Coturnix japonica: one gene and its partner. The protein of the gene in region 2 interacts with the protein of the main gene of each other region in a pairwise test. Links are inferred from orthologs where the notes say so. Each region holds a gene or a part of one and is shown on either strand. Other genes may lie near its edges.

Region 1 (3,813 bases), on a different chromosome or scaffold from region 2:
GGACACATCATTTCTGCTGCAGGAAAGGTGGCCACAGCTGCAACAGGGGATGCAGCAGTGTTGCCCACGTGAACTTAAAATACGCCTTCTGTTATAGGTAACTATGGCTGGTATGTATATATTTATATATATGCAACTATAACCATATTATAGTTAATAAATCATTCCTTAGGAATCTTTGCCCAGACTGGACGTGCACGCTGAGAGGCACAGAAATGCAACAGCACGCGGGTGGTGGAGGCAGCAGCATGTGGACAGCAGGAGCAGAGCAGTGTGAGGATGCTGCCACATCGTATCACTGCTGCGGGTACAGCTCTGCCTTCCACGCAGCTCCGTGCTGCAGGAAGCATCACAAAGATTTGATCTCGCTGTGCTGGCATCGCTCCTGGCTGCCACCAGTGCCCTGCAGCCACGCTGGGGCTGGGAGGGCTGCTGTGGAGCTCGATACATAGGAGAAGAAGGGAAGAGAGTGGTGCCAGGCTGCAGCCACCACGGTGCTGGTGAGGGGAGCTGTGCTGCAGCAGGTTGTGGTTGGCAGTGTGACAACCCAGCAAAGGAAAGAGGGGGAAAAAAGGGGGTTTTCTATTCTGTCAGCTGTGCAAAGAGGTGAACGTTCAACACAACACTGCAGGTGCACAGCATCAGCCATCAGCCCCTTTGCTGAGTCAGTGGGAGCCGGGTGGGGACCCTGCGTGTGCCCGAGCTTTGTGTCTATATAATAAATCCTTTCTAATAGATAACTAATAAAATATATCTCCGGTGTATGGCTCTGCTTTAACAGATGTCTGCACTGCATGCGGAACGCAGGGGTTAGAAAATAGAAGGAAAAACAGCTCAATTTCTTTTACAAAAAAAGGTAGCAGCAAAAAGGTTTGCTAAGGTTTTAGCTGGGCTAGGTAGGAAACAGTCCAACAGCATTTATTTCCCTTATCTGACACCTCAGGGCTGCCTGTGTGTGGTGAGGGAAGGAGCCTCAGCCCTTCTGCTGGGCTCACTAAGGAGTAACCACCTCCAAAAGCAGCAGGCAGCCTGCATGGAAATGCTGCCTGGATCTGCCTTTCCCTGTAAAGGGCAGCTTTGTTTGCTTCCCTCATTACGCAGTGCTGCAGGGGGACTGGAGAGAGCAGTGCAAGATCCAGAGAGTGACTGCTGCTCTGTGCCTCGCCGTGCTGAGTGGGGAAAGGAGCTCCAAGCAGAGCTCCTTCCCTGGTGCTCCAAACAACAGCCCTTGGTGCTGTGCCATGCAGCACGTGAGGACAGTGACAGCACATGGGGATGGCCACCTTCACACCTGGGGTGCAGCAGCCACACGTGTGCTTTCTGCAGGGTCGCTCTGGGGTAATAATAAGGCAAAGTGCTCGAAGGTAGGAGAAAAGCAGCCGGGTGTGGAGCTGGGGGTGGTGAGCTCAGTCTGCCCTGCCCAGCTTCGCGATCAGCTCGTCGCAGATCTTGGTCAGCTCCTCGATCTCCTGGTTCTGGAAAGGAAGCAGGACCCTGTGGTACATCCCTCCTCATCCCCTCATGACCCCACTCCCTTGATCCTCAAAAGCACTTTCTGACCCCAAAACAGAGAGAACAGCTCCAGCACCAAAGTGGAAGCACAGAGCATCCCCAGTGTGCTGGCAGTGGACGTTACCTTCTGCTGCAGGGCTCTCTCCAGGGACTCCACCTTCATCTGCTCCTTTCTCAGCCCTGCATGCAGAGCTGCGCTCTCTGCTTTGGCCTTGGTGCGCACCTGGGCGATCTCCTCGTTGGCTCTGCATGGGGAGAGATGGGGTTATGGGGTGGGAGTTCTGTGGTAAGGATGTTGGGTCATGATGTTCCAGCAGAGCCCAGCTCCTGCACGCTGCAATGCATCAGAGGTGGTTTTGCTACTGCTGCATGGAGGTGAATGCTCATTACTCAGGGCCAGGCATGTGCTGCCCATCCTCCTGCACCTCACAGCTCTTACTTGTCCAACTTCTCCTCCGCGTGGACCTTCAGGGCCTGGTATCGCTGCTCCTCTTGCTTGACACGGTTTAAATAGTCCTGAGCACACTTCTTCAGGGCTTCTTCATTCTGGAAAACAAAGTATATCCATCTGCACTGGGACCAAGCACAGCGTGCTTCTCTGATGACAGATCTGCATGGGACAGGGTGGGGGCAATGCACAGCCCCCATAGCTGCAGGGATGGGGGAGGACACCGAGATCAGGACCTTCTTAAAACCTTCCAGGACACCCTTCAGGTTTTCATATCTCCTGAACAGATCCGATAGGGACCTCTCCACAGAGTTGAGGTCTGCCAGCGCCTGGTCCTTCTCCATGGTGAGCTGTTGCAGGTTCTTTTGGGAGGTCATATTTGTCCTCTGCTCATCCTCTGTGAGGGGAACAAACAGGGATGTGGTGACTGAGCACAGACAGCATTGCCCTGCCCCGCAGCACTGGGACCTCACCTATCATCTGGGCAATGGTCTTTTCATACTCAGCCACAATTTTCCTGCAAAAGAAAAAGAAATAAAAGAACAAAAGTGAGTAGGAAGCAGCAGTTCCCGCAGACACACACCCACAGCTCTGCTCCAGCACGCTGCCCTGGGCCCCAGTGCTGCAACAGCCTGGGCACCCCCTGCTGCTGCTCCCAGATCCCCTCCATCCGCAGCTAATGGGATTTCATCCCCACAACAAACAAACTGCAGGCTCAACACAGCGCAGGCACAAAGCAGACATGCCTCGCGATGTGTCCCACCCCAGTGAAGCAGAACTGTGTCATCCCATTACGGCCCCACAGACAAGCAGGGGGAACATGAGCGCAGCATCCCACCGGGCAGGGGTCCCACCTCATCTCCAGGACCTCCTGACGACTCTCCTCGTACTTCTTCTTCCACTCATTGGCTTCGATCTCCTTTGTGATTATCTGGGGAGCAGCAGAAGGAGAGCTTGGCTGTGCTCCACCATCACGCCCACCCCCATCCCTCCATTGCAGAGCAGGACAGGGCAGCCCACACTGTTACCTCCTCCCGGATGAGTGTGAGCACGGCCGCCTTCTCGGAGGCGTTCAGGCAGATGCTGTCCAAGGGGCTGTCACTTCTGCTGCCACTGGTGATGGCTGTGGGGGGTTTGTCTGCCAGGCACAGCATGGGATGGCCCTGCATGGGAATCACCCAGCTGGGTGTTGTCTTTTGCTCATCTTTTCTCCTTGGTTCCCATGTTTGGGGTCACCCCCTCACTGCCCCTGGGCCTGCACCCCAAAGAAGAGGCAGAGCAGGGGCAGACCCAGCTGTAAGCTGAGCTGTGCTCCCATCCAATGTCACTTTGCTTTGCTCTGTGTTTGGCTCTAGAATAGCTAGGGCTGCACCATGGGGGTGGGTGCTGGGTATGGGTGGGGGGGTCCTGTGGGTGAATGTCCCCAGCAAAGCACTCCTGCACCACACAGCTCAGGCAGCTTCTTCCTCCCTCCACTGTCTCTGCAGCAGTGCAGCCCCTCACAGTTATCTCCTTGGAAACGGGCTGTGAGGCCATAAATAGCAAAGTGCTGGGAGAAGGCAGCCTGGTTCTGCAGTGTTTTGGAAACAAAAGCACTTCTCTCCCCTCTCCCTCTCCCTCTCCCTCTCCCTCTCCCTCTCCCTCTCCCCCTGCCTGGATCCACCCATGATGGAGCTGTGGGCAACCACTTTGGACACAGCCCCAGGTCCAGGCAGCCTCAGCAACCTCCTGCAGCACCATGCACAGCAGCTGCACAGCTCTGCCTTCCCCACAGCTTGGGCAGCCTCAGCAGCACCAAACACAAGGTTCACTTTGCCCAGTGTCCTTGTGGGGCTTAGTGCAGTTAAATCTGT
Region 2 (3,813 bases):
GGAGAACTTGGGGGGTGGACAGGGAGGAAAAGACATTCCTAGAAAGTGGAGGCTGGACTCTTCTCCAGGGACTCTCTCCTCTGCCCTGTAAGTTTTCCTCCTTATGAGGAAGCAAGAGGACAAATCCAGCATTGCCACAGGGAAGTAACACTCATCTCTTTGTAAAACCTCTTCCCTTTGATTTAAACTTCGGGGCTGGGCTGGGTGCGGTCATCACTGTCACACTTCACTTGCAGACCAAAGGCACAGGTTTTCTGCAGGTACACAAAATACCAGCAGAGATCAGCTCCAGCTTGGGGCCTGCCCCAGCTCCTCAGTCTCCCAGGATATCCCTGCTGTGCAGTAACCTCAACATATCACAGGAAATGGTAACTGTTCCTGCAGCAGGCCACGTGTTTGGATTGCACTGATTCACCAACAGGTGCTTGCCTGCCTACAGCAGGCCAACAGTTACTCACAATGAATAACTAATTTAATTGTTCCATCTACCTGATCTGGAGATATGACAGCTGCATGCAGGCACACACTGCTCCATCACAGCACTACTTGCTCATGTGTAATTTCCTGTCAGATGTTTAGAGAGCAGAGAGTCTCTCCCTGGTATTCCTAAGAACTGTCCCTTGTGTTTCAGAGAGACGGACTGTGCTGTAACACAGTCTCTGCAACCACAGCCAGAAGTCCTGGGTGAGACAGAAGTTCAGGGAAACAATAAAAACACTGTAGAGGAACAGAAAGAAGAGGCGAGAAAAAACACTGCTGGTACAATTGGGAAAAGCCAGGAGCTCAAAAAGGTAGCTTTCCCCTTTTTTTCCATACTAATAACCATTTGCTTTGAGATCTAGGAAGTGCAGCAAATCCTGGTTGCTATAAATAGAAATCTGAGAGAGAAGCCAGCTGACTATTAAGGTTTTTCATCTGTACTTTCAGGACAAGCCATACTGCTACATCCTTCCTTAGGACCTGAAGGTCCAAGTGCTATTGTTAGCTGGGACAGATCTGTTCTGCACCACTAGACAAGTTACTCTCAATTCCTTTGCTTCCCATTCTCCATGGATATAGTGAGAATCACATCACTTTCCTTCCTTCTCTGTGGCAGATTGGACTGCTTTTCAGAGGCAAAAGAGGAAAGCCATGGCCCTCACATAACTCATCTACTTTCACAGAAGATGAGATGAATGTAATTCTGCCACTATTCTCTAAAATACGTATCCTCAAGTCCCCTCTTTTGTTGTCTATTTCTTTTTTTCTTTGTCTCCTAGAAAAGATGATAGTTGATAAACTTGACAGCACAGGACAACTCCAAATGCAGTAACTACAATGACAGCATCTCCATCTTTACTGAGGTGTTTCATTACAGAAATATTTTTCTCCATTAATAAATACATTTGTCCTGTTTAACTAGCTACAAAAAGCCATTTACAGAGAACTGAGATTAAAAAAAAAACAAACAAAAAACAACAAACAAAACAACAAAGAAATTAGCTACCAGTGCAATCAAAGTTGAACTGGAAAATCCTGCCAGTTCAATGGGAGAAGTCCAATCTCATCCTGTGAGTTTTCGTTCTGCCTTTTGCTGCTAACTTCTATGAGTGTATATTGCTCTGTTACACAACCATGCCATATTTCAGCATAAAAGCACTGTAACTAAAGGCTGAGTTTGGGCTAAATGCCTCTCCCACTGCTGCCAATATGCTGAAGGGAATTTGGTGGCTGAGTGGCTGTTTCCTTTATCAGATGGTTCTGAATCACACAAGGTTTTTCTCAGCACTGTTTGCTGAAGTTGAGCAACTATGTGGGAGATCCTTTTTTTTCCCACCCTCCCTTTTTTAAAGAAAGCTATTAGTCAATATTAACAGCAACAAAAACGAAACCCAAAATCCATCACTGAATCAGCCAACTAAAAATCCCACTACCAAAGATATAAAACCCTTACAAACTTTTGCAGATGAAAACAGAGGAGTTTTGCATATTTTACTTTCTGTTTTCCGTCACTGTATTGTAAATAAGTTATTTTCCCAGGTTTCTGATGTTTATGCTAGTCAAGGGGAGGATACAGGCTGCAGACCCAAATGTTGCATTTTGTAAAGGTGGAGAGAAGGGGAGCTAGCTTTCTCTCACCCTCCCTTGTTAAATTGCCTTTTCTGTACCTGAGGGATCTGAGCACTATGCTTCGCTGCAGGGGCCATGGGGTTTGATCTAAGAAAACAAGCTGCTTCACTCAAGTTTTAAGTTCCTAGTTCTCTGTTTAGGAAAAGGAAATTGGAAATCCAGGGTCATATTAAATATTAGCCCAACAGGTGATAGAGAAAGCAAAGCATGTCCTTGGAAAGCAGTGTAGTACAGCTAACTTATTACTCACTGTGCTGTGGGAGGCAGTTTGGGTCAAATAGGGTGGTGGGTGGATGTTTGCTCAAAGACAAGCCTCACCTTTTCCTAAAAGACAGGTCTCAGCTGCCAGCATAGCCAGACTGGTTTTAGGAAAGAGAAAACATGAGGCATGCAGCTAGTTGGGTCAGTCTGACAGGCAGTGGTTTGCAGCAGTCAGCCACAGTAACAAAAGAGAAAAAGCAGCTGAAGCACTAGATGGCAGGTTCTGCTAGGGCTTGATTTATGGAGATGGAAAGAAGGCAAGCTTCCCTTCTTTCTGCTCCCTGGGACCACTTGTGAGTATCACTTACCTAATCTAGGCAGACTTAGGACAATTCCTGACACCCCTGACTCTTTTCCCGGTGGTATATTTGATTTAATGTGATGAAAAAAAAACTAACTATTTTTTTATCAGAGAAAACTGGAAAAAATTGTTAACATAGAAGTCACATTACTCCTTCTGCCTCGAACTCCTAGAGTCCAGCAACTTGCATATGCAGGAGATTAGACTGAGGTGTACCTGAAGTTGAAAGCACAAGTGAGATTCACTCTGGAAATGCTTTACTGGTGCACATCTCCAAGGGCAAAATACTCCCAAGATTCTTGTGCTCTACCTTTGGGGAGAGTGAAAAGGAAAGGGTAGCTGCTTCTTGCCATCAGCTCTGAAAATGCAGAATGTTCCTGCCTGCCTTACTGGGCTTGCCAGGGAGTGCTGTGAGAAGAGAGCAGCCTACAAAGCACGGCACTTCCATACAAAGAGCATTCCAGGCTATGGCAGCCCAGCACTACTATGTGGTACCCACAATCTCCACCTGCAGTCATGGAGATTTTTGTCAAGGACACATTCCAAAAAAGAGTAAAGTTCCAAATTCTGCATTTATTTCTCACCACTCTTTTCCTCTGCCCAGAAGGAAGCCCGGGATGTTCACCAGATGCTGGCAGACTGTCAGATGAGGAAGAGTGGCTTCTCACAGGTAAGCTGCAACCTAGGATGTTGCTGACTTTGTTTCCGACACAGACATTATCTTTAAGTCTCAGTCAGCTGTTTTCCTCTTGGCCCAGCTCTGCCCAGTACTGCCATACTCTACTAATAAGGTGTCAGAACAAAGCAGGCCAGCCTGGCAGACTGGGGAGTAATATGGGGAGATATTCCATGTTATTTCTGTTTTGCCCTTCTTTCTCTGTCATAACCCGCAGTAAAGTAAGAGGTTCTTTGAAATCAAAGGGATTCACAACTGAGAATGGAATCCCTAGTTTTTCAAAACTAGCTAAAAAGCAGGACTAAAACTAGCCTGGGACAAAGCACTGAACACATCATTTCTTTCACAGATGAAGGGAGGACACAGGAGAAATTCAAGAGAAGAGACTACAGTCCAGCTGAAGGCAATACCACAAAGCCATGTACCACAAAGCCATGCATGCTCAGAGAAGACGTTGCAGAAATCT

Evidence for each region.
Region 1: the proteins of SH2D4A (region 2) and TACC1 interact in binary tests that used the Homo sapiens proteins (3 or more experiments, as listed by UniProt). The two-hybrid records come from large-scale screens. The link is inferred for Coturnix japonica from reciprocal best matches to the Homo sapiens genes SH2D4A and TACC1.

Annotation. Positions count from the first base shown.
Region 1 is NC_029537.1:3,769,935-3,773,747, reverse strand, and holds part of TACC1 (transforming acidic coiled-coil-containing protein 1), read right to left. Parts: intron 3,124-3,813; coding exon 2,989-3,123; intron 2,892-2,988; coding exon 2,815-2,891; intron 2,478-2,814; coding exon 2,434-2,477; intron 2,358-2,433; coding exon 2,197-2,357; intron 2,059-2,196; coding exon 1,952-2,058; intron 1,758-1,951; coding exon 1,637-1,757; intron 1,476-1,636; coding exon 1,407-1,475; 3' UTR 1-1,406. UniProt on the Homo sapiens protein: Involved in transcription regulation induced by nuclear receptors, including in T3 thyroid hormone and all-trans retinoic acid pathways. Might promote the nuclear localization of the receptors.
Region 2 is NC_029519.1:30,062,964-30,066,776, forward strand, and holds part of SH2D4A (SH2 domain-containing protein 4A), read left to right. Parts: intron 1-631; coding exon 632-791; intron 792-3,275; coding exon 3,276-3,341; intron 3,342-3,696; coding exon 3,697-3,813. UniProt on the Homo sapiens protein: Inhibits estrogen-induced cell proliferation by competing with PLCG for binding to ESR1, blocking the effect of estrogen on PLCG and repressing estrogen-induced proliferation. May play a role in T-cell development and function.